Stegostoma tigrinum: one gene and its partners. Each later gene encodes a partner of the first gene's protein in a complex. Links are inferred from orthologs where the notes say so. Each region holds a gene or a part of one and is shown in the gene's direction. Other genes may lie near its edges. The genes, in order: rbl1, mybl1, transcription factor E2F5-like and arid4a.

What was found.
Region 2: rbl1 (region 1) and mybl1 share a complex: the UniProt entries of both Homo sapiens proteins name them as parts of the DREAM complex. The link is inferred for Stegostoma tigrinum from reciprocal best matches to the Homo sapiens genes RBL1 and MYBL1.
Region 3: the proteins of rbl1 (region 1) and transcription factor E2F5-like are in contact, whole or in part, in a crystal structure (PDB 5TUV), measured with the Homo sapiens proteins. The link is inferred for Stegostoma tigrinum from reciprocal best matches to the Homo sapiens genes RBL1 and E2F5. Residues at the interface, in NP_002886.2 of Homo sapiens: Ser1000, Ala1001, Leu1002, Leu1003, Tyr1004, Lys1005, Phe1006, Asn1007, Ile1017, Met1020, Ile1021, Gly1024, Glu1025; in NP_001942.2 of Homo sapiens: Met162, Ile190, Ala192, Pro193, Ser194, Gly195, Thr196, Gln197, Leu198, Glu199, Val200, Pro201, Ile202, Pro203, Glu204, Met205, Tyr213, Leu217.
Region 4: the proteins of rbl1 (region 1) and arid4a are in contact, whole or in part, in a crystal structure (PDB 7SMC), measured with the Homo sapiens proteins. The link is inferred for Stegostoma tigrinum from reciprocal best matches to the Homo sapiens genes RBL1 and ARID4A. Residues at the interface, in NP_002886.2 of Homo sapiens: Tyr849, Ile850, Lys853, Val854, Thr860, Phe861, Gln862, Met865, Lys866, Arg869, Tyr879, Arg880, Asp929, Leu930, Ile931, Tyr934, Asn935, Val939, Ala946, Leu947; in NP_002883.3 of Homo sapiens: Leu957, Val958, Cys959, His960, Glu961, Val962, Asp963, Leu964, Asp965, Asp966, Leu967.

What each region holds. Positions count from the first base shown.
Region 1 is NC_081372.1:1,760,411-1,767,461, reverse strand, and holds the start of rbl1 (retinoblastoma-like protein 1), read left to right. Parts: upstream 1-3,883; 5' UTR 3,884-4,004; coding exon 4,005-4,151; intron 4,152-6,790; coding exon 6,791-6,924; intron 6,925-7,051. UniProt on the Homo sapiens protein: Key regulator of entry into cell division. Directly involved in heterochromatin formation by maintaining overall chromatin structure and, in particular, that of constitutive heterochromatin by stabilizing histone methylation.
Region 2 is NC_081358.1:31,539,132-31,546,569, forward strand, and holds the start of mybl1 (myb-related protein A), read left to right. Parts: upstream 1-4,363; 5' UTR 4,364-4,697; coding exon 4,698-4,717; intron 4,718-7,438. UniProt on the Homo sapiens protein: Transcription factor that specifically recognizes the sequence 5'-YAAC[GT]G-3'.
Region 3 is NC_081358.1:85,387,338-85,394,950, forward strand, and holds the start of transcription factor E2F5-like, read left to right. Parts: upstream 1-4,531; 5' UTR 4,532-4,569; coding exon 4,570-4,740; intron 4,741-7,613.
Region 4 is NC_081363.1:50,107,953-50,115,543, forward strand, and holds the start of arid4a (AT-rich interactive domain-containing protein 4A), read left to right. Parts: upstream 1-4,513; 5' UTR 4,514-4,549; intron 4,550-4,581; exon of another isoform or gene 4,582-4,681; intron 4,682-4,719; exon of another isoform or gene 4,720-4,857; intron 4,858-4,869; exon of another isoform or gene 4,870-5,101; intron 5,102-5,567; 5' UTR 5,568-5,616; coding exon 5,617-5,622; intron 5,623-7,591.

The sequences.
Region 1 (7,051 bases):
CTTTCCCCTGTCTACACTAATGGCAGCCCGGCACGGATTCCCTCTGCTCTCAATCATTTCATCCTGGTTCCTATTCTTAAAACAAAGCCTTAGAGGAAGTGACGTTGTTTTCAAATTTAGTCAATGTTGCAATGCTGCGTATTGGATACCTCATTTATTTTGTATCAATATCCCCAACCTACTGATATAATTGCTCTTGTATCTAAATACTGTACCTGACTTGTCGAAAGCCTCAATAAAAAGTTAACAACCCGGCATAGAGCGGTGTTGATGTCTGAGGTCATGCAAGAGTTTCCGTCTCATTTGCTTAATGGAAGAATCTGCTATTGGGGTGGGTTTTTCTTTTTTAAAAAAGAAAATTTGCTTGAGACGTGTTTAGTTTCTTTCAGTTTTGCTTTTAAAAGGAACTAGCATTAATTTGTGGTCCAGTTCTTCCCTTGGACATGCAGCTTCAGCTGTATCTGACAGAACAATTGGAATTCAGCCTTCTGACCTCCTTCAGACTTTGATCAGTAATGGAAAGTAATGTAAGGATTTTAGGAAACAGATTATCCAATAAAGAGGATCTATTGTTTAGCATAAATAATTATTATTTTCACCTCCATCAGAGGAAGTGTCTGTTATTGCTGTATTGTACAGTCTGGAAGATAAGAATTCACAAACTTGTGTGACATACCAGAAGAGAGAATCCTCATTTAGTTTCCCTTTAGTGCTTTGTGTTGGGAGTATTTGTGCAAATCTACCTGAGCAAGACACTTGGTTGAAAATGTTCAGAATAAAATCTACCTTGCATTGTAAAATGTTGCGTAGTCCCCAACATCTTGATTGATGACTCACTTTAATAAGCAAGACAGACCTTTATCAATGTGATTACATCTTTGCCCCAAAATGGTTGTCAGTTTTATCAAATGCCTTTGCAGAATTTACGTAATGTTGGGGTGTGACTTCATTTAAATTGGGATAGGAGGAGACCATTTAATCTCTTGAGACCTTACACTGCCACACAATTATATCATTGCCATAAACTATCTCAACATTACACACCTTTGTTCCTTATCTCCTGATCCCTTTAACTAACAAAAATCTATTGTTCTCAGTCAACATTGAATTGTGATTGGGAACAATCAACACAACATTTATAGCCTGGAGAAAATGGTCCAGAGTTCTGCTACTCTATGTAGTAAAAGTCCTTCTTAATTTCATCCTTAACTGATTTAGCATTCGTTGTAACATTGATGTTTTATTCGGGATTCCAGTCAAGGGAAATTTCTTTTTCGGGGCTATTAAACACATTAATTTTTTTCTACTCAGTACTTTGCACTCCATTGACTTAATATTGATTGTAAATGCTGGACTTTAGCTATAACTAAGCTTCTCTGTGACAGTGATGACAGTGGAGTTTGGATAATGATTTCAAAGAGGGACAGCAGAGCATGGAATGGGGAATCAAAAGGAAATCCGAGTGCATCCTTGGCGTCGGTTTACCTTTTTGATTTACAGACTACTGGTCAATGGGGGCCTTTTCTGGATGGATGGACTTTATGCCGTGCTATCTATTTTCCCCCACTGCTGTACGTTGACAATGTTGGAATTCAGCATTCTGATCTCTCTCTCTCTTTTCCATTGCTGAAAAGCAATAATTTGGAGAAACAAACAATGCTGGAGACACACAGCAAGTCTGGCAGCATCTTAGGAGAACTTCTCTTTTCAATGTGCTTTGGACAACCACATCAGACTATGAGTAAATTAGCACCCAGTGGTGTGTTCACAAGATCCACCAAATCAAGAGGCAAGGAAGGCAGTCCAACAGCAGCACCCTCCCCCAACAATGTGGCCAGCAATTATTCCTGGCAGAATCATAGAACAAAAGAACTGTCAACGCTGGAGATTGAAAACAAAAACAAACTGCTGGAGAAGCTCAGCAGGTCTGGCTCCATCTATGGAAGCAAATAGACACAATGTTTGATATCCAGTGACCCTTCCACAAACCAGTTGCTGTGGGCAGGATCTCATTTGTTGATCTGATAGACTCCCAAAGCAGCTGCTCTGGTCTGAACTTAGTTTTTACAGGGGTCTGCCGGGAGGGCAGTGGAAGTGGTTTTGTTGAGGTGCTTGAAGCATTCCTGTCAATTCGTGCAATCCCTGGATCGGTTTTGACTGAAGTGGGGAAGAATCATTTCAAAATGCACAAATGCATTAAGGGATTTGCTTGAGAACATGTAGAATTGGTGACAGCACACAAACTCCCAAACAACCATCTAAGCAACTCTTCAAATAGCACCTGCTCTCCCTGTGTTAGAATCTGCTGATCCTTCCAGAACCCATTGAACAGGAGTAGGAGCAAATCATTCCCAGTAGTATTGCATATAATTCAGCTGTTCTTTCTTGAGAAATCCATTCTGCAATTTGACCATTTCTGAGAGGGTGGGCAAGATGGCAAAAGGTCAAGTTGAAATTGGTTCAAATGCTGAGGCTGGGGAAAGAAAGTGAAACAGGTAAAAATGGGGGGGGGGGGAGAAAGTGAAACGGGTAAAATGGGGAGGGAGAGAAAGTGAAACGGGTAAAAAGGGGGGGGGAGAGAAAGTGAAACGGGTAAAAATGGGGGGGAGAAAGTGAAACGGGTAAAAAGGGCGGGGGGAGAAAGTGAAACGGGTAAAAATGGGGGGGGAGAAAGTGAAACGGGTAAAAAGGGCGGGGGAGAGAAAGTGAAACGGGTAAAAAGGGGGGGGAGAGAAAGTGAAACGGGTAAAAATGGGGGGGAGAAAGTGAAACGGGTAAAAAGGGGGGGGAAAGAAAGTGAAACGGGTAAAAAGGGGGGGGAGAGAAAGTGAAACGGGTAAAAATGGGGGGGAGAAAGTGAAACGGGTAAAAAGGGCGGGGGGAGAAAGTGAAACGGGTAAAAATGGGGGGGAGAAAGTGAAACGGGTAAAAAGGGCGGGGGGAGAAAGTGAAACGGGTAAAAAGGGGGGGGGAGAGAAAGTGAAACGGGTAAAAATGGGGGGGAGAAAGTGAAACGGGTAAAAAGGGGGGGGAGAGAAAGTGAAACGGGTAAAAATGGGGGGGAGAAAGTGAAACGGGTAAAAAGGGCGGGGGGAGAAAGTGAAACGGGTAAAAATGGGGGGGGAGAAAGTGAAACGGGTAAAAAGGGCGGGGGAGAGAAAGTGAAACGGGTAAAAATGGGGGGGAGAAAGTGAAACGGGTAAAAATGGGGGGGGAGAGAAAGTGAAACGGGTAAAAATGGGGGGGAGAAAGTGAAACGGGTAAAAAGGGCGGGGGGAGAAAGTGAAACGGGTAAAAATGGGGGGGGAGAGAAAGTGAAACGGGTAAAAAGGGGGGGGAGAAAGTGAAACGGGTAAAAATGGGGGGGGAGAGAAAGTGAAACGGGTAAAAAGGGGGGGGAGAAAGTGAAACGGGTAAAAATGGGGGGGAGAAAGTGAAACGGGTAAAAAGGGCGGGGGGAGAAAGTGAAACGGGTAAAAATGGGGGGGGAGAAAGTGAAACGGGTAAAAAGGGCGGGGGGAGAGAAAGTGAAACGGGTAAAAAGGGCGGGGGAGAGAAAGTGAAACGGGTAAAAAGGGCGGGGGGAGAGAAAGTGAAACGGGTAAAAAGGGGGGGAGTTAGTGAAGGTGATGCCGGAGGCGGGGGGGGCGCGGTGAGTGAGCGAAGGTGATGCCGGTGGGGTGGGGGTAGGGGGGTGGAGGTCTCAGGTACTTTCTGGCTGGGCGGCGGAGTATGGGTGACGTTAGGTTCCGAGTGCTCCGCGGTGATCCGGCTGTGCGAGCTACTCTTTCCGGGCTATTTATAGAATGGGCGTGGTGACCTGGTCGAGCATGCGCGGGTTTTTGGCGCCACTGCCGCGGTGTACTGTGGGATTAGTGTCCGAGTGGAGCCGGGGCAGTCGCGGTGGGAGAGAGTGACTGAGTCGGAGGGACGGAGTCAGAGCGAACCGGCAGGGATACGGGAAGCGACAGACAGGTACTGAGCCGGGAGGGAGAGCCAGCACCATGCCCAGCGGAGAGAGCCGGGACGGCGGCAGGCGGTCACTGCGTGACAGCTTCGACAAACTGTGTCAGGACCTGAACATGGATCTGGAGAGCGGGGCCGAGGCTTGGGAGAACCTGCAGCGGATCCGCCTCAACTACACTCTGGAGGTGAGGGTGGCTGGGAGTAGGGGTCGTCGCAGAGCCTCCCCAACCCCGGTCTATCTCAACTACAGCGTTGGAGTTGAGACCATAAGATATAGGAGCAGAATTAGTCTATTCAGCCTATCAAGTGGAGATTTACTGGGATGCTGCCTGGATTTGGTGGGGTGTGGTGGGGCAGCTCTTATGAGGAAAGGTTGGGGGAGCCTGGGCTTTTTTCATTGCAGTGAAGGATGAGAGGTGGCTTGATAGAGGTGTACAAGATGATCAGAGTGCATAGTCAGACTTTTTCCCAGGGCGGAAATGACTGTTACGAGGGGGACATAATTTTAAGGTGATTGGAGGGGGGCATAGGGGAGATGTCAGAGGTAGGTTCTTTATACAGAGAGTGGTGAGTGTGTGGAATGCGCTGCCAGCAATGGTAATAGAGTCAGATATTTTAGAGCCTTTTGGACAGGCATGTGGAGGGTAGTAAACTGTAGTGGAAGCAGGATAGATTGATCTTAGGATAATAGATCAGCACAACATTGTGAGTCAAAGCCTGTATTGTACTGTTCTATGTTCTATATGTTAGTCTGTGCCCCCATTTGATCACAGTTGATGTGTTGCTCAAACCCATCATCCTGCCTTCTCCCTGTAACCCCTGATCCCCTCACGAATCAATTGCTGTCTTAAATACAGTCAACCATTTGGCTTCCTCAGCCTGCTGCGGCAGTGAGTACTTTGGCAGGAAGCATACAGGCATTGACTGCTTTCTAAATGGGGAAAGGCTTTGGAATTGAGGGAATGTATCTCATTGAGACTTAAAGAATACTGAGACGCCTGAATAGATTGGACATGAAGATGATGCTCCTACCTGTAGGAGAGACTTGGTCCCAAGAGCACAAACTCAGAGTGAAGGGACCATCCTTTAGAATGGAAGAGGACTTCCTTCAGCCAGAGGATAGTTAATTTGTGGAACTCATAGCTGTTCTTGATTGGCAATAGGAACAAGGATGGGGGAGAGAGGGCAGGAGATCGAGGAACATATCTGCCATGATCAAGTGGCAGAGCAGATTTGATGTGCTGAAGAGCTTAATGCTGCTCCTATCTAGAGTGGTCTAAAGTGTGAACCTCATTTGTGTGGAATTTAAGTTTTTAAACTGAGAATTTAAATTTCTCTTGATTATTAATGCAGTACCACTACCACATTCAATAAATAGAACAGTTGAAAACACAGTTTGTGGTTAACTAGTATATTGCTGATCATTTCTGTGATATATGATGTCTTTTTGATGAGTGCGGAAGTGATGTGTGTAGTGGTTGGTTTTAAAACACACCAGCTGCATTTCTGTGTTGTGGAATTTGCTTTATGTTTGTACTTGTCTCTAACTTGGTCACTCTGCAAGTTTCACTTGTTTCCTTCCAATAATTAAGATTATTGCTAAGGAAAAATAGTTGCAATATAAACATCTGTAACAGAAGAAATAGATTGAGTCATTAAATGCATTTTTCAATTTAGAGTTAAACTCACTTTCAATTTATAATTTCACTGATATTTTGTGCTGTAAATTGGATTGATTCTATTTGTGCCTGCCCATTTGCTACAAAATCAAAGCTAAAGAACATTTCACTCAATAGTCATGCCTGCATGAATGTCCTAATTATCAATTCTATGTTGATATTGCACCTGGGGAACTATTGTATGTTAACCCAGGTGAAGTTGCAGTGAAACAGTGGAATAGTTCATGGAGTTTGAGGATTATTTCAGTGATTTCAAATTCATTTTGTGGAGATCAGGACTTTGGTGTGAGCATATGTTATGTACTATGTACACTTCTGGTCTCCAAATCTAAGCTCACGTATATCTATTTAGTGCAACAAAGATTTACTCGATTGGATCCTGGAATATGAGGATTCCCTTGTGTGGGGCCATGAAAAATGAGGAGAAATCTCATTAATGATAAGTGTGGAGCTGGGTGAACACATCTCCTAAGTGCTCCTAAGATGCTGCTTGGCCTGAGGTGTTCATCCAGCTCCACACTTATCTTGGATTCTCCAGCATCTGCAGTTCCTATTATCTCTGAGAAATCTCATTAAAGCTTTTTAAAATCACTGCATGTGTTATGAAGCGGAAATTGATGCCCCCCCCCTGCCAAAAATCTGTTAAAAGAAGTATGAAAAGTGTTATAACCAGCTGGTCATCCCCAATCTGTTGTAAAGGAGTGGTTAAATAAAATGGAATCTTTTCACTTACTCAATCAACAAAATGTAACAATTTACTTATCTAACTTTAACAGTGAACAAATTAGCAAAACTACTAACAAACAAACAATTCCCCCTTAACTATTAACTACTCCTGAATAAAACAAAACTCTTCAGTAAGGTGATGTCACCTCACCTCAGCCAACGAAGGAGCAGCACTCCAAAAGCTTGTGATTTCAAATAAATCTGAACTATACCCTGGTGTCATGTGACTTCTGACTGAATATGTTCAAGGGTGAGAGATCTTTTGACGTTTCAGAACCTAGCAATATGGAGAGCAAGTGGGAATGTGGAGTTGAACTGAAAGGTTAGTCACGCCCATACTGAGTGATACACCAGTCTGGACAGACTAGTCTGATTGTGTTCCTATTTTTAATGGACTCGTTTCTTAATGCTTGTTTCAGGGAGAAACTCTGCACTGGCTTGCATGTGCCTTGTATGTAGCCTGTCGCAAAAGTATCACGCCAACTGTTGGCAAGGGGACAATGGAAGGAAACGGTGTGTCACTGACAAGAATCCTCCGCTCATCAAAGTTAAGGTAACATTCTTTATGACACAGGTAGATGCAGAGAACAGGAGAAGCAATTCCGCTTGTGTGGGAGTGAACTGCTTATTGTCTAGAATGGAGCAGTATTGATAGTCATTAGAAAGACTTACTGCCCTGA
Region 2 (7,438 bases), on another chromosome or scaffold:
TTTCCACACTGTATAGCTCTATGACTCTACAAAATTGTCCAGCACAATGTGAACTCCTAATGCAAAGAGGACTAAGAACTCAATCCCTGCTCTCATTTACGCATCCAAGTTATAAGCACAAATACTGTTCCAGCTAGATGTGAAACTACCTCAAATATGATGAGGCACACTCCAACTAGGCAAGTTCGTCTGGATCTAATGCCAAACTTACTGTGGACAAGTGTTTGTGACATAACATCCATGGCCCTAGATCATTAAAATAATAGGCTGTGTAATGAGGTAAGATGGAACAGGCTTGCACTGGTTGCCATGTAGCCTGTGGACGCAGTCATCTACCCAATTTAATAAATCAGAGAAACTGCATCCATTCATCAAATCAGTTGAAAATGTGCATTGCAAGTCAAAGTCAGCTATCAATTCCCTCCTGCCTAGGAAAGTCTAAGAGACAATGTGCTGGACTCAAAGCCCTGATTTCTTCACCGGAAAAGTGGTGAGCCTGTGGATTTAATAACCCCAGGAAGTAGTTGATGCCAAAACACTGAACGTATTCAAAATGTGCCTAGATATAGCACTTGAGGCAAAATAGATCAAAGGTTGTGGGGAGAAAGTAGGGTTAGGCTTTTGAGTTGGACAATCAGCATAACATGAACAATGGCAGAGCAGGAGCAAAGGGCTGAAGGGCTGCCTCCTGCTATCTTCAATGTTTCTGTTCCCTTCAGAGGAGACAAGGACCCTTTGACATAGACTCATATGGGGACAACCATTGTGGTCTTTAAAAGAGGAATGGAGAAAGGACATGAGGAGAAAACAACATTTAAGAACTGAATATACCAGAGTTCAAGGTTGTGGATTGTTGCTTTTCACAATCCAGAAATCACCATTAGAGATTTTGAGAAGATGGAGGCGGTGTGAATTTTAATGGACTGTTAATAGATTAGTACTAATCTATGTCTGAAAGTGATGTGATGTCATATGGTGATCGTACAAGTTTGTGGAAGACGTAAAACAGAACAGTAAGATGTGTTCCAGTAAAGCTCCTGTTTCATAATGAGTCTGCAGGGGTATTTAAATCTAAAAATAATTCAGGCTGATATTTAATGCAAAATCATTACATAAGTAACTGTACTTAATACCTTGCTTTCTGTAAATTGCATTGGGGCCTCTTAGGGTCAGTGAAAAAACTGATATAAATGCCAGTCAGAGACAGTAAAAACTGCTGATGCTGGAGTCAGATAATACAGTGTGGAGCTGGAGGAACACAACAGGCCAGGCAGCATACAGGAGCAGGAAAATTCACGTTTGGGACAGGACCCTTAAGAAATGGAAGAGGAGGGGTGAGCAGGGGAAGGTAGGTGGAATGGTGATAGGTGAGCACAGGTAAGCAGTGGTGGGGATTGGTCAGTGAGGTGGGAAGAGCGGATATGTGGGACAGGAGATGGACAGATTGTGTCAGATCAAGGAGGCGGGGATAAGAGAGAGGCTTAGTCATGGGATAAGGCCGGGGTGGGGAAATTTTGAAACCAGTAAAGTCCACGGTGAGACCATTGGGTTGTAGGCTCCCAAGATGGAATATGAGGTGCTGCTCCTTCAGTTTCCAGGCGGTGTCATTGTGATACTGGAGGAGGCCCAGGATGGACATGTCGCCCAGGGAGGGGGAGCTGAAATGGTTCATCACGAGAAGGTGTTGTCGTCTGTCGCGAACAGAATGCAGGTTCTCTATAAAGCGGTCTCCGAGCCTCCACTTGGTCTCACCGATGTAGAAGACGCCACATCAGAAGCAGCAGATACAATAATCCACATTGACAGATATGCAGGTGAACCTCTGTCTGATGTGAAAGGTTTGTCTGGTGCCTTGGATGGAGGTGAGGGGGTAGGTGTGGGGGCAGGTGTAGCACTTCCTGCAGTTGCAGGGAAAGGTGCTAGGGGTGGTGGGGCTAGTGGGGAATGTGGAGCAGAAGAGGGAGTCACTGAGACAGCTTGAACAGTTCCTCAACTTTACTAACCCCTTTCTCCCCAACTTCAAGTTCACCTGGACTATCTCTGATACCTCTCTCTCCATCCTGGATATTGATATCTCTATGTCTGGTAACCGCCTCAAAACCAACATTTATTTCAAGCCCAGTGACTCCCACAGCTACCTAGACTATAGCTCCTTTTACCCACCTTTTTGCAAGAATGGGATCCCCTACTCCCAATTCCTCTACCTCTGGTGCATCTGCTCCCAAGATGGGGGGGGTTCCACTACCAAACATCCCAGATGTCCTCTTATTTCAAGGACCGCAACATCCTGTCCCACCCAACTTTGGTGGTCAAAAATGCACTTGACCCACATCTCTTGCATTTCCCGCACCTCTGCCCTCACATCCCTTTCTGCAACAAAAACAAAGATATATGAGAACAAGTGGGATTCTATCACTCCACTAACCATATTCAACGTATCATTCTCTGTCATTTCTGCTACCTGCAATCCGACCCCACAACCAAAGATATATTTCTCTCCCCACCACTATCTGCCTTGCATAGGGACCGGTCTCTCCATGACTCCCTCGTCTGCTCCACACTCCCCACTAGGGCGGCACGGTGGCTCAGTGGTTAGCACTGCAGCCTCACAGCGCCAGGGACCCGGGTTCGATTCCACCCTCAGGCGACTGTCTGTGTGGAGTTTGCACATTCTCCCTGTGTCTGTGTGGGTTTTCTCCAGGTGCTCCAGCTTCCTCCCACAGTCCAAAGATGTGCAGGCTAGGTGGATCAGCCATGCTAAATTGCCCATAGTGTTCAGGGGTGTGTGGGTTATAGAGGGATGGGTCTGGGTGGGATGCTGCAAGGGGCAGTGTGGACTTGTTGGGCCGAAGGGACTGTTTCCACCCTGTAGGAATCTAAACACTAGCCCCATGTCCTCTGATGCTGCCTGGCCTGCTGTGTTCCTCCTACTCTACACTGCGTTACCTATAAATGCAAGTTTTTTTAATAAGTTAAACCCTTGTCTACTTATTCCAGGAACATAAGCAGAAGAAACAGAAAGGTACAACATAAAGATAGCAATAACACAAACACCACTCCTCAGATTTTTTTCTCGCTCTGACACCATTTCGAAGTCTCAAACGTTGTAACCTCTCAGTGAGAACTTTGAGAGCAAGGGCCTTTTTAAAGTGTGGGGAGGTGATGGCCCAGCCAAATTATCCCTGGACTAATCCAGAGATACAGGTGATGCTCTGGGAACCCATGGTCAAATCCTCCCATGGCAAGCGGTGGCACTGAATTTAATAAGAAGTCTGGAATTAAGAGTCTAATGATGTTGCTGGTTAGGGGGAGAAAATACATTCATTCCAAGATGGGACCATATTCTATAATTTGCGGTTTGTAACTCGAGTAAAGGTTTATTACAAACATACACGTTGTGAGATATGCTGAAACTACGACGATAAAACTAAGAACTGCAGATGATAGAAATCTGAAACAAAAGCAGAAATCGCTAGAGAAACTTCATCTGACGAATGGGTCATTGGACTTGAAACATTAACGCTGTTTCTCTCGCAACAGACCGGCTGAGTACGATGTTTACATCTATTCCTTTCGATATTTTTTGATCTTTACCGTTCAGAAATGTTATAACCCACTTTGGGCTCAGGTGGCACTTGAACCCGGGCCTGCTGTCTCAGAAGTAGGGACACTAGGTGTGACAGTGGCTCAGGGGTAAGCCCTGCTGCCAGAGACCTGGGTTCGATACCAACGTCGGGTGTGACGGTGTGGAATTTGCACATTTTCCCCGTGCCTGCGTGGGTTTCCTACCACAGTCCAAAGACGTGCAGGTTAGGCAAATTGGCCGTGCTAAATTGCCCTCAGTGTCTACGGGAAAGACAGGTGTGGGTCTGGGTTGGATCTCGAGACAGTCGGTGCGGACTCGACAGGCCGAGTCGCCTGCTTTCACACTGCAGGGATTCTATGATACTACTACACCGACCTGGCTATTCTTGTTACGTATGTTTTAACAAAAAAAAGGACTTAATTGAAATAAACTGTCACATTATGGTTAGGTTTTTTTGCAACAGGCACTCATCAATGACAGACTTGCCCATCGCCTGCCAACAGCAGCGGCGGTGTTTGGGACCCACACAAGATGGCGCACTCGATGTTGGTTCTCAAGGCGCACGGCTTCCATATAGACTACAATTCCCAGAGTGCCTGTCAAGTGCGCATGCAGTCGAAGTTCGCCGTCAAGGCGCACGGGCTTCGATGTGGACTACAATTTCCAGTGTGCCTGTCACGTGCCCGCGCTGCCGCTCGCGCCGCCCCCCTCGCACGGAGGGCCCTATGAACGGTCAGGACGCGTGCGCACATTCAAATATTGTCGGGGAGTGTTTGAGAGGGAAGGCAGGGCGCGAGATTTGGCGGGATATAGAAACGGAGCAGTGAGAGTGGCTGAGAGGCAGCAGTGGAGAGCTGAGCTCCCCTATAGCCACGTACATACATACACATATATATATATATATATAGAGAGAAACACACAAATACACTCTTTCTCTCTTCGGGCTGCTTGGGGATATGGTGACCCCACCGCTGGTACTCAGGCAGCCAACAGCGACCTTCAGCCCATGTATTAATGATCGGAGACTAACCATCCCGGAGTCCCCGAGCGGAGTGAGTGATTGAGGAGTCCTGGGAAAGGCAGAAAAGGGAGACAATCGTCCCTGTCAGTGATGGCCAAGCGAGCCCGGAGGTGAGTGCTCTGCGGGTGGCTTTTCGCTCATCAGGACTACTAGCGTGGAACATTGAGCTGTCTTTTTTTTTATTTTTGAAGTTGTACTGGCTGTCAGCTGCCTGCAGCGAGTTACACGGGACCTGTGATGTTTGCATCTATTCTTATACAAATGTATTATCAAAACAAAACTAAATGAAGCGCCCATGGATCATTGTCATGTTATGATTAGTTTTGCAAAAGGCAGTTTGCGTATGTTTACGTCCATCTAGGTAAATTTATTAGGGAGCTGCTAAAGTTCAAAGTTGAATATGCACAGTGCATCAGGTATAACGTGACAAATTTCAACCTGTTGAGTTGTCATTCCTGTGTTTTTGGAGGTATAACACGCCACATCATAGCTGGGCGTGCAACATCGCTGTAAAACTGATCACAGAACCTGGCCAAGAGTACAATTGGCAGTAGTTGGCCAATAGCAATTGCTAGGATTCGGTTCAAATCACCGCCGTCTTTAGTTGTCAAATTGATTGTAGGCCTAGATTAACCATGAATAAATCAATGTAGTAACATTACCCAGGTTCTGTTTTTTTCTGTTGGGTTGGAATACGAGGAGAGAGGAATACAGAGTTTTTCTGTCCCTGAATCTCACGAGGATTCCACTGTTTATCTTGAAAGCGTTAAATAGGATTTTCAGGATAGTTTTAATGAGTACCAGCTAAATGGATTGAAGTTTTCTTGCCTATTCTTCCATGTAATAAATGACAGAAATCAAGTCCATTTCATGTAAGCTGGAAATAAGTTAGTTTATCCTGATACGTTCTTGGTACTCGGTATTCTGGTGAATAATTTTATTTGAAATGACGAGTTTATCAAGCAGATTTGTAGAATGGCTTCCTGCCACACTGGAACCATTCAGCCTATTGCCTGAGCTGTCTGTCTACAAGAGCAGTTTACCTAATCTCATTCCCCTTGATCTTTTTCTGCAAGCTAACTTTTCTTTTAAAAAAAGACTTTGGCTACTTATCTAATTCTCTTTTGAAAGCCATGATTGAATTTGCCACCACCCCACACTTAGGCAGTGTATGCTGGATCTTAGTCACTCAGTTGTTGTTTGGAAAAATTGTTTTTCCTTGCACTGTTTGTTTTATCATGCACCTTAACTTGGTGTCCTCTGACTCTTACGTAGCACTGTAACTTCTTCCTGTCCATGCTGTCTAGATCCCTGATGATTTTGAACACCTCTGTCAAATACTTCTCTTAAACTTCTCTAAGGACAGTAGCCTTTTCTCTTAACTGAAGCCCCTCATCCCTAGAACTAATCTTACCAATGTTTTCTGTTGTCACTCTGAAGCTTTCACACCCTTCTTGGAGACAAAATTACAGTTGAGGATAAACGACGAGGTTTATCATCACTACATTGAATTTTTACTCTACTTCTATTTATAAATGAAGGATGTGTTAATTGCTTTCTCAATCAGTCCCAGCCACTCTGCACAATGCATGCACACACACACACACACACACCCTAGGTCTCTTTCCTCTTGCACTCCTTTAGAGTTGTGCCTTTGTTTGTTTTCCTTGCCTTTTCTTGAATTTTCTAACAGAATGTAAGTTTCAGTTTGTATTAAATTTAATCTACCCACTCCCATCAACCTGCTTTGACCTCCTTGAAGTGATTGCTCTGTTCCTCAGTTCGCACAACTTCCGAGTTTTTTTTCTGATCTAAATTTTTGAAATTGTGCCATCCACACAAATCTATCATTAACATAGATTAAGGAAAATTAAGTTCATAGCACTGGCTTCTGGGGAACCCTGTATCAACCATTCGCCACAACTGTTTCCAGTCTTTCAACCAGCTTTGTATCCACTACCTATGGATTCAACTTTATTAGCAAACCTGTTATGTGACATTTTATCAAATATCTTTTAGAAGCCTGTGTACACGACTTTTAAACATGTTACCCTCAAACGTTCTGTTACTTTTAACTAATTTAATTCAAGTTGTTTTCTTAAATAACATGAAATTCAAACACAAGATAAAAGTACTCAGCCAGACGGTAATTCGGTTTTTCTTCACACATGCTGCCTAATGATGATCTTTCAGGCCTTTGCAGTTTTTAATGCATTTGTATTAATTAAATATGATTCACCCTTGGTAAATCCACACTTTGCTTTAGTTAATACTTTTATAAATTTTTAGCCTTTAAGTCTCTCAACTTCCTCTTTCATTGTGGCTTGCACAACATCTTCCTTGGTGAAGATAGACGCTAAGTCATTAAATAACTCAACAATGTTTTCTGTCTCCATGAGTATGTCTGAGTTCTGCCACTCCTCTTGCTACCTTCTTAGGTTAACTGCAAATCTCTTATACTCCTTCTGCCATTTTCTCACACTTGGCTGAAATTTTTGTATTTAGTTTAGACCTCATTTGTATTTTGAACTGATGTTGATCATACAGAATCATTCACTGCTTCATTTTACTTTCTCCTATCATTTGACCAAAATTTTCCTTCGTAACACTTTGCCTTGACTTGTGTTCAACCTTTTCTGCATCAGAGACCACTTCAGGCTCATTTATTGCTTTGTCTACCAATATCATTGGCATTCTATTTTACCTGGGCCAGTTCTCAATTCTTCAGCAGTCTACTCCCAAAAGAGTCCACCAGATCCTCCCACGTTCTTTCCCATTGTCTATGGAGACAGTTTAATGACTCCTTTTAAAATCTCTTGATCTGAACTTTT
Region 3 (7,613 bases), on another chromosome or scaffold:
TCCAGGGAGGATGGACAGGTCAAGGGGGCAGGAAGAGGTTAGTAGGTAGGAGATCAGGGTGGGGCTTGAGGTAGGAGGAGGGGATAGGTGGGAGGAAGAACAGGTTAGGGAGGCGGGGGTGAGCTAGGCTGGTTTCGGGATGCAGTAGCGGGAGGGGAGATTTTGAAGCTTGTGAAGTCCACATTGATACCATTGGGCTGCAGGGTTCCCAAGCGGAATATGAGTTGCTGTTCCTGCAACCTTCGGGTGGTATCATTGTAGCACTGCAGGAGGCCCAGGATGGACATGTCATCTGAGGAATGGGAGGGGGAGTTGAAATGGTTTGCAACTGAGAGGTGCAGTTATTTAGTGAGAAAACCGAGTGTAGGTGTTCTGCAAAGCGGTCCCCAAGCCTCTGCTTGGTTTCCCCGATGTAGAAGAGGTCACAACGGGAGCTGTGGATGCAGTATACCACATTAGCAGAAGTGCAGGTGAATATCTGCTTGATGTGGAAAGTCTTCTTGGGGCCTGGGATGGGGGTGAGGTGTAGGGGCAGGTGTAACAAGGAAAAATGTCAGGTGTGGTGGGGCTGGAGGGGAGTCTGGAGCAGGCAAGTGAGTCACGGAGAGAGTGGTCCGTCCAGAAAGCAGATAAGAGTGGGGAGGGAAAAATGTCTTCGATGATGGGGTCGGATTGCAGATGGCGGAAGTGTCGGAGGATGAAGTGTAGTAATAGTGGGGTGGTAGGTGAGGACGAGGGGGGATTCTGTTTTGGTTGTTATTGCAGGGAGGGGGTATGAGGGATGAGTTGCAGGAAATGCGGGACACACGGCCAAGGACATTCTCCACCATTGCGGGGTGGAAGTTGCGGTTCTTTAAAAACAAGGACATCTGAGATGCAAAGGAGTGGACTGCCTTATCCTGGGAGCAGATGCAGCGGAGGCAAAGGAATTGGGAATAGCGGATGGCATTTTTGCAGGAAGGTGGGTGGGAGGAGGTGCATTCTAGGTAGCTGTGGAAGTTGGTGGGCTTGAAATGGATATCGGTTTCGAGGTGGTTTCCAGAGATGGAGACAGAGAGCACCTGGAAGGAGAAAGAGGTATTAGAGATGGTCCAGGTGAACTTAAGGTCAGGGTAGAAGGTGTTGGTGAAGTGGATGAATTGTTCGAGCTCCTCGTGGGAGCACGAGGCGGCGCTGATACAGTCATCAACGTAACAGAGGAAGAGGTGGGGTTTAGGGCCAGTGTAGGTACGGAAGAGGGATTGTTCCATGTAACCTATGAAGAGGTACACATAGCTTGGGCCCATGCAGGTACCCATGGCCACCCCCTTTGTCTATAGGAAGTGGGAGGAATTGAAAGAGAAGTTGTTGAGAGTGAGGACGAATTCGGCTAAGCGGTAGAGGGTGTCAGTGGAGGGGGACTGGTTGGGCCTGCGGGACAGATAGAAGCGTAGGGCCTTTAGGCCATCTGTATGGGGGATGCAGGTGTATAGGGACTGGGCGTCCATGGTAAAGATGAGGTGTTGGGGTCTGGGGAATTGGGAGTTCTGGAGGCGGCGGAGGGCGTGGGTGGTGTCACGGACATAGGTAGGGAGGTCCTGGATCAAGGGGGAGAAAATGGAGTCGAGATAGGTGGAGATAAATGACTTTGTGACAAACCTGACTACGCTGGTCAACACATTGTCTCCACCTCCTTCTGCCCCACTGAACTTAGCTCCACCTATCTCGACTCCATTTTCTCCCCCTTGGTCCAGGAAATCCCTACCTACGTCCGTGACACCACCCATGCCCTCCCCTCCTCCAGAACTTCCGATTCCCCAGTCCTCAACACCTCATTTTCACCATGGATGTTCAGTCCCTATACACCTGTATTCCCCATACAGATAGCCTAAAGGCCCTCCGCTTCTTCCTGTCCCGCAGGCCCAACCAGTCCCCCTCCACTGATACCCTCATTCGCTTAGCTGAACTTGTCTTCACCCTCAACAACTTCGCTTTCAATTCCTTCCACTTCCTGCAGATAAAGGGGGTGGCCATGGGTACCTGCATGGGCCCAAGCTCTGCCTACCTCTTCATAGGTCACGTGGAACAATCCCTCTTCTGTACCTACACTGGCCCTAAACCCCACCTCTCCCCATTACGTTGATGACTGTATTGGTGCCGCCTCGTGCTCCCACGAGGAGCTCGAACAGTTCACCAGAACAGAACACCTTCCAACTCAACCTTAAGTTCACTTGGACCATCTCTAATACCTCTCTCTCCTTCCTGGACCTCAGTCTCCACCTCTGGCAACCATCTAGAAACTGATATTTATTTCAAGACTACAGACTCCCACAGCTACCTAGAATACACCTCCTCCCATCCACCTTCCTGCAAAAATGCTATCCCCTATTCCCAATTCCTTCGCCTCCACTGCATCTGCTCCCAGGATGAGGCATTCCACTCCTGTACATCTCAGATGTCCTCGCAGTTCAAGGACCACAACCTCACCCCCTCAGTGGTCAAGAACGCCCTCGACCATGTCTCCTGCATTTCCTGCAACTTATTCCTCACACCCGTCCCCTCAACAACAACCAAAACAGAACCCCCCTCATCCTCACATACCACCCCACCAACCTCCGGATCCAATGCATCATCCTCCGACACTTCCGCCATCTGCAATCCGGCCCCATCACCAAAGACATTTTTTCCTCCCCACTCTTATTGCTTTCTGGAGGAACCACTCTCTCTGTGACTCCCTTGTCTGCTCCACATTCCCCTCCAGCCTCACCACACCTGGCACTTTTCCCTGCAACCACGGGAAGTGGTACACTTGCCTCTATACCTACCCCCTTACCCCCATCCCAGGCCCCAAGAAGACTTTCTACATCAAGCAGATGTTCACATGCCCATCTGTTAATGTGGTATACTGCACCCGCCGTTCCTGTGGTGGCCTCCTCTACATCGGGGAAACCAGGCAGAGGGTTGGGGACCACTTTGCAGAACACCTACGCTCGGTTTGCACTAAACAACTGCACCTCTCAGTTGTGAGCCATTTCACCTCCCCCTCCCATTCCTCAGACGACATGTCCATCCTGGGCCTCCTGCAGTGCCACAATGATGCCACCTGAAGGTTGCAGGGACAGCAACTCCGCTTGGGAACCCCACAGCCCAATGGTATCAATGTGGACTTCACAAGCTTCAAAATCTCCCCTCCCCCTACTGCATCCCGAAACCAGCCTAGCTCACCCCTACCTCCCTAACCTGCTCTTCCTCCCACCTATCCCCTCCTCCTACCTACTAACCTCTTCCTGCCCCCTTGACCTGTCCGGCCTCCCTGGACTGACGTATCTCCTCCCTACCTCCCCAACTATACCGCCTCCATCCCTGCCTCTTTGACCTGTATGTCTCCTCTCAATCTACCTTCTCCTCTATCCGCCTCCCCCGCTCTATTTATTTCAGAACCCCCTTCCCCTCCCCCATTTCTGAAGACGGGTCTCCCCCCAAAACGTCAGCCTTCCCTCTCCTTTGTTGCTGCTTGGCCTGCAGTGTTCATCCAGCTCCATTCCTTGTTATCTCAGATTCTCCAGCATCTGCAGTTCCTATCTCTGAAACAACTCGGTGTTCATGGTCTTTTTTGCAGGACATAGTAGTTCTGCTAAGCTTTGTTTCCCCAATGAAGTCGCCAGATAGTTGAGTCTAGCAACAACTTTCATAGCATTGTTAATGTGATAAAATGATATGGGAGTCTTCACATTGGTTTTCTCCAATAAAACTTGACAGCGACCCATAAAATATCACAGCAAATGACCAAAACTTAGCCAAGGAGGCAAATTTTTAAGGAACATCATAAAGAATGAAATTAAGTCACAGAGGGTTACATATAGAATTCCACACTTTTATGGTCCAGGCAAATAACAGAATAGTCACTAATAATGGAACAATTTAAATCCAGGATGCGCAAAAGCTAGAATTGCAGGAATCCAGATATTTCGGAAGCTTGTGGGGCTGGATGTGATTACAGTGACATAGCTTTGGTGATACTGAAGTCCTATTAACCTTCGGAACATTTCGTTAACTGTTTTCCACAGATTCTGCCAGATCTGCTGAACCTCTCCAGCACTTTTCTGTTTGCATTTCGGATTTCCAGCATCTACAGTGTATTATTTTTATGTGTATATATTCCTAGCATGGTGTCCCCCAATGTTGAATGGGAGACAAATTCTGTCCAATGCAGTACTGGGTGCTGGAGAAGCAGGTTGATCCACTTAGAGTCACCGGATTAAGGTTGGGCTGGCCGTCCGTGTGTAAATTGCCTGTGGCAGTTTTTGGAAATCCTTCGAAGTTTGTTTTCATTGAACAGTACAGTGACTTTTTGTTTCCCCTTGCACTTAAAGCCATGGCCTGGGTCTCGAAATAAAGTAGCATTCAACCTCATCTACCAACTGTCGCCAGGACTAACTGCGCTGCCCGGTTACCATGGCGTTGCCGTGTCGCAGACGTCACTTCCTGGATTTTGAACACTGTTCCGCGGTATCTGATTGGCTGGACAGTCTTCAAAGTGGGGTGGGTGGTGAAGCTTTAGTCGCGGTGACGTCACAATCGTCCGTGGTGATGGCCGAGTCTGTCCGTGAAGAGAGCGGTTGGAACGGCACGGGTCACGGAATCCGAGGTTCAGGCTCGAGTCCGGCCTCGAGCCGCCACGAGAAGAGTCTCGGGCTCCTCACCACCCGATTCGTGTCGTTGCTGCAGGAGGCCAAGGACGGAGTGCTGGACCTCAAGCAGGTCAGGGCCAGGCCAGCAATGGCAGGGGAGAGAGCACATGTGTGAAAACAAAACCTGCGAGGCATCTCCTGCTGCTGACCAGTCCAGCAGCTCCCTCAGCATTCTTGAAGCACGATCTTCACACGTTTCACTCACCCATCCTTTTTGATTCACTTGTAGCGGAGCGTAGGTGCTGATTGTTGTCGGCTCCCCGAAGGGAATAATTTGTGGCACAGTCTCTATGCAACCATATAACACGTTTTCTTTAATTTTCATATTGGAAGTGCGTTATTTTATAAACGAGGAAATAATCGTTTTCAAACTTATAAAAGGTGTGGTGCTGAATCTGGAATGGGTTACTTGCCTGTTTCATTATCAATCGTTCCATTTCGGCAACTGATTTAAGAACATGTAACATTTATAGATAGTTCTAATCGACCTGTTCAGACATGTCGTGACACAGCTCTCAACAGGTGGGACTTGAACCCAGAGGTAGGGGCGCTACCATGGCACCACAAGAGCCCTGCGAGAGCGCTTGTATAACGAATTTGCTGTAGTAAAATACCCCAAGGTGCTCGACAATGGTATGTAGTCAAAACTGGATGAATAGTCGAAGATATTAAGAGGGGTGACCTAAAGTTTGTTTAGTGTGGTTTTTAATTATTAATCCTTGTATAGAATGAAGGGAGAATGAAATTCAAGCATGAAAAGTTTTTGTGGATGGGGTGTTTGTAGCACTGTCAAAGAAGTTGCATCTGAGATTGGTAAAACATAGAGGAATTTAAATCCAAGGTAATATTTTTAAATCCCAAACATTGGTACCTGCTTTTCCTGTATGGATCACTCATGAATAAAGAGTCTGTGAAATTGCCTGGAATATGAAATTTAAATGAGACTGATCAGGAAAACATTGTGACATTTAAATTTAGTGCTCACAATGGGACAGAAAGTTTTTCCACAGTAGATAGGCTGATGTTTGTCACGAAGTGGGTTATCCAAAAGCAGGGGAACTATAACTATCAAGGTCAGCTGTGTTCATCCTGGAGAAAAAAGCTACATTAACACAGTGACTTCAGCGTACCTAGGATGTCCCAGACACTTCACAACAGTGTTTTTGAAGTATACTTTTCTATGTAGATATAAAAAGAAAGGGTTTGGGAAAAAATATAGTGTGACTAGCTTTGTCACAGGGTAGAAATGATGATGGGTGGAGACTCAGCTGCCAATTTGTACCAAGCATGATCTTCAAACAACAATGCCTCAGAGATAGTAAGAGCTGCTGATGCTGAAGTCAGAGATAAGAGTGTGGAACTGGAGGAGCTCAGAGGAGCAGGAAAATTGACATTTCCTGTTGGGACCCTTCTTCAAAAATGGGGGAGGAGTGGGGGCAAGGGAGCTCTGAAATAAATAGGAGGGGTGGGGAAGGTAGGTGGGGTGGTGATAGGTGAGTGCAAGTAGGCAGTGGTGGCGAATGGTCAGTTAGGTGGGAGAGAAGATGGACAAGGAGGTGGGGACGAGAGGGAGAGTTGGTCGTGGGATGAGGCCAATGGTGGGGAGATTTTGAAACTGGTAAAGTCCACATTGAGACCGTCGGGTTGTAGGCGCCCAAGCCGGAATATAAGATGCTGCTCCTCCAGTTTCCGGGTGGTGTCATTGTGATGCTGGGGGAGGCCCAGGATGGACATCTTGTCTAATATATTTTAGTGATGTTGACTAAGCAATAAATATTGGCTACAACCTGAGGGACAACTACCAATTTAAGTTTTATCCCCTTGTCATGTACAACACAAAATCAATTTGCATCATACAGTTAAGAAATGTACAGCACATTATTCTCATTAGAGGGGGATAGTTGTTCTTTTCGTGCCATGTCATTTTTTTCTCCTTACAGTTTTGATTGGAGGATCTTTTCTATTTTGAAATGAATTATCTTGCTGGAGGAAAATCAAGTACTTTAGTAATACTCTTTTTTAAAAGTGCTGAATATTTTTTTCCAATAGAATTTCACCTTTGAGGAGGAATGGATTTGTATGGTATATTGCCACAGACTCCTTTGGCATTCTACAGCCCACCTTTCAAAACACAAACATTCTAGATCTGAAGGCTTATTATTTTACAGGGGATTATTTGTGCTGAATCAAAATAGACACATTGACTAATGTTTAATTTAAAGATGGCACTTCAGACAGCGCAGTACTCCCTCAGTACAATATAGGACTGTTGATCAATGTTTTTGTGTGCAAATCTTTGGAGTTGACCTTCTGACTATGATAGCGCTATCCACTGAGCTACAGTTGACACCTGCAGTTGCTGATCTTATCAGTATTTCATAATTCCTGAAATGCTGTTGCTTCCCAATCCCATCCTGTTCTCCCTAGCCAGAGACCAGACCTTTGCCTGTTACTTTTTGTATAATGTCATTTTTTTCTACTTGCAGTTTTGATTGGAGGATCTTTTCTATTCTGAAATGAGTCATCTTTCCAGCTTCCGTCACCCCACCTCCAGAAAAATCAAGTACCTTAGTAATGCTCTTTTAAAAAGTGCTGAATTTTTTTTCCAGCAGACTTTCACCTTGAAGATGGAATGGACTTGTATAAAACGATGCCAACAAGTCCCCTTTAGCATTCTGCAGCCCAGCTTTCAAAATAAAAACATTCTAAATCTGAAGTTTTTTTTTTAACAGGAGATTATTTTGATTCAGCATATTTAGAAGTACTGATGCAGATGGGTTTTGTGTTGGACATCACCAGGGAAAAACATTTAATTTGGATTGTGAACCAACAATTTTTCAGCCTTGTTCCCTAGGAATATAACATTGACATCCTTGGCGCCGCTTGTTGAAGCACCAAATCTCAAATATCTTCACTTTAAAGTCAGTCTTATCATTCTCGTAC
Region 4 (7,591 bases), on another chromosome or scaffold:
GCATAATAATGCTTATGGAAAGCTGGCTAATGAGAGGTTTAATGTGGAATGCAGTATAGTGTGCATATGGAACAGAGGAAATGGCTACAAAGGATAGCCATGTGTAATAGGTGGCCAGAGTTTAAGATGTTTTTAAGATACAAAGGAATTAAGGAAAGTGGGGATTATGGAGAGTAGATGGAGCAAAGGTGGAAGATCAACCTTTGTCTTACTGACTGGTAGAGCAAGATCCAAAGCATAATAGCTTCTCCAGCTCCTACGTTTTAGATTGGGTTATTTACTTGTCGAGATTTATAAGAGAGAGCGAGATACAACATATATTAGTGCAAAATTATATAATTAGCCAAAAATATCACGTGATAAGAACTGTTCTTCAGAACAAAAATTCACGATTTCTAACCTGATTTTGAACAACAATTTTATTTCAATAAAAGGTTCACATACAAAAAGAAGATAGCGTGGATAATCTGTCTTAGTAATTTTGGTTGTGAGACTAAAATTGCCCAGGAAATAGGGAATACTCAACCATTCTTTCAGTCCTGCCATGGAATCTTTTATGTCCAACTGAGACATAGAGACCTTATTCATGACTTAGTAGGCCTTCCTCATGCATAATTATCTTGCAACAAAATTTACTGCACACAAAACATCTATAAATGCATTCAAACAGTTTATTTCACATGAAGTTACTTGATTTAGATTTCATTTTATAAAATTCTACATGGCATCATTACAATTTTCCTTCCTCAAAAAGTACCAAGTTCAGGGATTAGGTGCAAGAAAATCAAGTTTCTGATATTCTTAAATTTTGCTTAGCATGGTTTAAAACATAACCCTAAATGGTCAAATCTTAGTGAGATTCTCCATGGTTTCAACAAGGGCTCAAAGGGAAATCTGAATCACTAATTTTGGGTCTTACTTCAAGACATAAGGATGGAAAGCATTTGAATTTTCTACCAGTCTAGGAGAGCGGAGCTCCACAAACAGGTCAACGCCACCTAGCCACAATGGCTTTAAAAATCAATTAATTCTATCAAAAGATTTCCAAGACAACACTCCGCAGCATCAACAATTAAAATTCTAACTTCCAAAAAGAAGAATTATTTAAAGTCACTCGTTTAAACACCACATGAGACCCCAAAGCCTATTTCAGTCAATTACATTCTGAGAGTGATAGTTCCTTCATCTAGTGCAAAAAACATGGCAATTTACATCCAGAAAGATCCTGTCCGATAATCTACTCGAGTGATGTTGGTTGAAGGAACAACTCCACTACTTCAAAATAGGGTAAATCAATCTTTAACATTGATGTCGGGGTGGGGGGGGGGAATATTGGGTGTGTGTGTGTTTGTTAAAATTGTCAACCGTTTCCACACATCTTTGTTGACAATAAAAACTGGCCTTGTAAACTCTGTATGCTATGGTTTCATGCATTACAAAAAAAGAGATGCTTTAGGTGCCAGCTCTAGGAGTAAAGTAACAAATGAAGAAAATGTCTCTATTTTACACTTAACCAACCAGAGGGATTGAAACTATTAATAGAATGTCTGAAGGAAAGGATCCACCACTTTCTCAGTCTGGCAATCTCCTACACAATATGCAAAAACCAATGCATCTGTTAAGATGTATTTCATGGACTGGTAAACAGCAGACTGCATTACTCTAAAATCAGTCTAATCCAGTTTTGACATTGGTCAATTTTAAAAGCAAGAAGCAACAGGAAAAGGTCAGTTCCATCACTGGATCTGGTAACATATCTATTGTAAATATAGGAAAGGAGAAAATAGAAGTTTAAAAAATCATTTGTACAGTATGACTTTTCACTTCTTGGTTTAATCAAATCCAGATTTGGATGCATTGAAAGCATTTCATTGTCTTCTTGCCAACTGTATGTGTTCAGTTAGAGACAATTTCACTGATTACAACATAGGCTACATGCCACAGTACAAAGATGACATTCTTGCTGCATTTTTTGAAGATCCAGTGTTGTTCTTTGCTGTATTAGAACTCATGTAAGAGAATATTGGCCTATATATCTATTCCCTGAAAACCTCAAGGTAATTAAAAAAACGGATGCAAAATATCAACTGAAAAGGAACATGGCTCTTGCAGATCAGTGAATGTTCAACCAATCCAAGATCTGATTGCTGGCCCGTAAAGAGTTACTAAATTAGCAGTAAAACGACGATACTATTGCTCTTAAGCATATCAGTCCCAGCTTATCTTGACTTTTGGCTCAAGAAGAGTCAAGCTGAACTCAAAACATTAACTGTCTCTCTCCACAGATACCGCCAGATCTGAATTTCACCAGCATTGTATGTGTTTCAGACTTTCAGCATCCATGGTATTCTGCTATTAAAGGTCTACTGAGCAATCAGTTGAGTTGGGAGGAAAATCTATACAGTATGGGTTAAGTCCTACCGAAGAGAAAAGCTTGGAGTGTGCATGTAATAAGAAACAACACCTTGCACTTTACTGGTTATCACAGATACAGCATAGAAATAGGATGAATGAGAAAACAAGATAGAGAAAGGAGTAATTTGGGTAAAAGCGGAGACAACAATAGAAAAAAGGGTTTTCAACCGAGTTGGAGAAATCCATGAGATCAGAGTCATTCGGTATGGAAACAGACCCTTAGGTTCAACTAGTCCACGCCAACCATGTCGGCAAACTAAACTGATCCAACCAGCCTGTGTTTGGCCCATATTCCTTGAAACCTTCCTATTCATGTACTTATCCAAATGCCTTTTAAACTTTATAAGTGTACCTGCATCCACCACATCCTCTGGCAGTTCGTTTCACACAAACTAAATGTAAAAGAAGTAGTTGCCCTTCTGGTCCTTTCTAAAAAATTATCCTCTCTTCAAAACATGGAAATGTTAAGTTCTTACCTACCTTATGGGAAAATAACCTTTGCTATTCATGTTATTTATGCCCCTCATGATTTTATAAACCTCTAAGTTCATTCCTTAACCTCCTGTGCTCCAGTGAAAAATGTCCTAGCCTACTTTTATAACAAACACTCACAGCAACATCCTGGCAAATCTTTTCTAACAGTTTCTAGTTTGATAATATCCTTTGTGAAAACATATCACAAGAAGAAATAATGGTGCTGTGACAGAAAAGACTTGTATCATTCTCATTTTTCAGAATAATCTTAGGGTTGTGAAAGCATTTGGCCAAGGAGAATGGGTGGTGAACTAATGGAGGGGCCAGGTCAACTGGTAAATGCTTTAACTCTGAACGTGTAGTTGTTGTACATAGTCCCCAAGTGAAGACAATGATGAAGAATATAGAAAGCTAGATGGATAAAACACTGATCAAATTTAGCAATAGCAGGAAAAAGGGAAGAAAACAATTCAAAGGAAGAGGTCTCAAAATATGCAGAGATAAAACGATACATTTGATTGCAACAACCAAAAAACTTGAAGAACACAGAAGGGCCAATCAGGATAGAATGGGAAATTAGAACACGTTCTGAAACGTTCAAAGAACTGAGGACAGCCACGAACTTGGTTTTGCATTAACGTCAGAGTATGGGTGTAACATGAGAACAATTTAAAGATTCAGATTCTTTAATACTATCTTTAAAACATAGTACACTTCTCGATGAATAGGCCAGAAAACTGACACCACGTTTTCCTGATACTTCAGCCACGGAAATAGCCATGAAAAATTTACAGATGAATCTTCAAAATAAATATAAATTTCTGCCTGGGTATATGCACTCGAAGGGCGACCTTTGGTTACTTTACTAGGTTTAGCATTACTTAAATGCAAATTAGCGCTCTCGTCTCCCCCCCATGTGAGTTTTAACCACAAATGAAGTTTTATATTGTACTGGTCTTTTTGGGTACTACAAACTTTGTATGGCCAGCAGCAGTAGTAACAACTTTGGACTCTGACAGGACAAAACCCCTCGTGCACGCCGCGTGCACACTATTTACAGCCGCAGCTGTTTCCGGGAACGTAACAGCTCCATGACGCACTAACAATCAAAGACGCCATTGAATCGAACCAACTCCCCAATGACGAGAAGAGAAATAGCCTCCATTTGACCTTTTATTTTTACTCGCTCGAACATTTTTTACATTCCGCAACATTCCTAAAACTTACTTTAGACAGTTTTCTAAGAGTTCCGATGAAAAAACAACGGCGAACCCGCGAAACAGCAGCTGAAAGCAAAGAATTTCCTGGTCCAGCTGAACCTCCTCGCGGTCGCTGCTTCTGCCGCCGCTTCAACAGGACCTCAAACAGCAAAAATCGCCACCAAGATGGCGCCGGAGCACCTCTCCCAGTTGCGCCTGCGCACGGCTCAAGCGCCGTCTGGGGCTACAGAGCGTGCGCAGAAGGCGGGGGATGCGTTGCACTCTGGGCCTCAGAGGCCGCTCGGATCCGTTTCCATGTGACCGCACAGCCAATCGGTGAGTGGTGCGGCCGTCTTGCTCAACATTCAGCCAATCGGAGTTCGAGAAAGGCAGGCTCGCTCAACAGCTTGTTATTTCGGTTTTCGCTGGGACCCGGGGAAGTGGACGTTAGCGGTGGACGTGTGTGAGTATGCGGTTCCTCCAGTAGTCTCGTTGGCCTTTTCACTTCTGTAGGCTTAGTGCAAAACATAATTTGGCTGCTTTTAAACAGCGTCGTGGGCGGAGGTTGGCTGGTCCTCGGTTATGAAGCTGAGGTGAATTCGCCGGAGCCCTTTCCCCCTTTTCTCGGTTTAAAGTGAACGTAGGGGGCATTGAATGGCAGTCAGCTCCGACTTCTCCACTGCCCGCCTGTTTATGCATTTTGCTGCTGTCCTTGGACCGGTAGTTCAATTGAGAACCAAGGTTTATAATCTGTTGGGACGGTGCGAAGGTGACTTGTATGTTTACGGTGGTTTCCTGCTTTTTTTATTCATGTGTAAGAGCCTCGATCGTCGCGATTTTTGTTAAAGCGCCTTAGATGTGAGGGGGGACGGGCTTAAAAGGCGGTCCGAGGCAGTCCTGTTTTTAACTTCGCCACTGTTTCCCATCGACCTGTTTTGAAGTACTGGTCTCACTTGCTTCTTTACAGAGAGTGCGTTTCTAAATTCGTATCGAACTGCAAAGAAAAAGTGGTGGTAAACGAGGGTTTTCTACTCGTAGGAGGGTGTTGGAGGGGGAGGGTGCGTTTGGCTGTCGATCTATGAGCGGAGAAGGCGACTGATTTGCCGGGACACCTCCATAATTGTACTACAGGATCTGAGCTTGTTGAACTGACATGGTGCAGAAATCGAGAGAGCAATGGCGACGTGACTCAGGATGGAGGAACAAGCGGGAAGGGGCAGTTAAATTGTCCTAAAAATCCACATCGCGTTTCAAATGTATCTTCATTGATCTCACAGTAATTTATTTAATGTATTGTTTAAAAATTTCGTGTATATGAACTTCGTAGCTTCCCCTGGATAGGGCAAGTAGAGTACGACGAAGGGAAAACATGTTATTTACATCTGAGTACATTGAAAGCTTGGTGTGTTACATGGTCCTTGTAGATTGCAGTTTAATTTTAACGAGTCGACTATGATCATATCTTTTGCTTAACTGCAGTGATCACAACTTCGAGCTGGAAGCACTCACGTAAATAGGACACTCGAAAATGAAGGTAAGTTGTCTGTATTGACTCCATTACTTCTTAACAACGTTTCTCTTTTTGACGAGTTACGTTATCCACTTTTGTCCGTAGTCGTAATGCTTGACCGTCTCAGACCGATTATTCTTTTTAATTGAACGGTTATTTGAACTGCTGAGTCGGCCTAGTAGTAAGAATGCTTGTTAATTCTGTTCAGAGCGCTGATGTGATAAATATCTAAAACGAGATGATTTGCATGACCAATAACTGATCTTTTGAACTAGACTCATGGATGAAACTTCTAAAAATATTTCAGAACAAGTAAAATAATGGTGTACTCAAATTACATATGGAGTGAAAGCAGTTAATGCAAAGAATAACACAACAGTGATTTTGTGAAGAAACCCCTGAAACTTTGGTGTGTTGCTGTAGAACTACTTCTGAACTGTGCCTCTATTCTCCTCAAATTTGTCCATTACAAATATGTAAATTAAACAGCCTGATGTTTGGTGGGTGTTGTCACAAATGGTAACTGCAATAATTTATGTAATTTTTTTTCAATGGGCATTTGCCTTCCAATCTTCATGCGTTTTTACGATTTCCAGGTGCAACAGCATTCACAAACTGATCTTTTTAACTTTATTTATTTGGGTGTAATGTTGCAGGTGTAATAGCACTCAGCAAGCTTTCATCCCTTTAGTTTGTTATAGAGTCGTAGTTATACAGCTCAGAAACAGACCCTTAGTCCAATTGATCCATGTCAACCAGGTATCAAACTGATCTAGTCCCATTTGCTATCATTTGGCCCATATCCCACTGAACCTTTCCCACTCATGTAGCCATCAGATAATTTTAAACATTGTAATTGTACCTCCCTCTGTCATCTTTGACAGCTTGTTCCATACATTCACCACCCTTTGTGTTTAAAAAGTTGCTTCCCAGGTCCCTTTTAAATCTTTCTCCTTTCACCTTAAACCTGCACCGTTTAGTTTTGGGCTCCCCTACCCTGGGGAAAAAGACCTTGGCTTGTCAGCCGTCATGATTTTATCAACCTTTTATAAGGTAATCCCTCGGCCTTGATGCTCTGGAGGGAGAAAAGTCCCAGCCTGTTCGCTTAAACCCTCCAATTCTGGTAACATGCTTGTAAATCTTTTCTCAAGTTTAACAAAATTTTTCTAACAGCAGGGAGATCAGAATTGAATGCAGTATTCTAAAAGTGATCTCATCAATGTCCTATTATAGCTGTAGCCAGCGCACCAACCAATGAAGGCAAGTGTGCCGAACATTGCCTTCACCACCCTGCTTACCTGTGACTCTGCTTTCAAGGACCTATGCACTTGCACTTCTACATCCCTTTGGTAAAGGGCCCTACCATTAAGTGTGTAAACCCTGCCCTTGTTTGATGTACCAAAATGCAATGCCTCACATTTATTTAACCTCAACTACATCTGCAACTCCTTGGCCCATTGGCCCATCTGATCAAGGTCTCGTTGTATTCTGAGATAGCCACCTTTACTGTTCACTACAATCACCAATTTTGGTGTCATCTGCAAACACACTAAGCATTCCTCCTATATTCACATCCAAAACATTTATGTAAATAACAAAAAGTCGTGGACCTGGTGATGCTCCTTGCAGCACACCACTGGCCACAGGCCTCCAGTCTGAAAAACAAACCTGTACCACCGCCCTCTGTTTCCTGCTTTCAGCCAATTTTGAATCCATTTGGCTAGGTGCCCCTGCATTTCTTATTGTCTAACCTTGCTAATCAATCTACCGTGGGGAGCTTTGTCAACGCCTTGCTGAAGTCTGTATAGACAATATCTGCCCTCATCAAACCTCTTTGTTACTTCTTCAAAACCTCAATCAAGTTAGTGATATGCATTTCCCATGTATAGTCTTGTTAACTATCCCTCATCAGTCCATAACTTTTCCAGATGCATGTAAATCCTGTCCCTCAGAATCCCCTTCAACAACTCACTATCACGACCTCAGACTCACT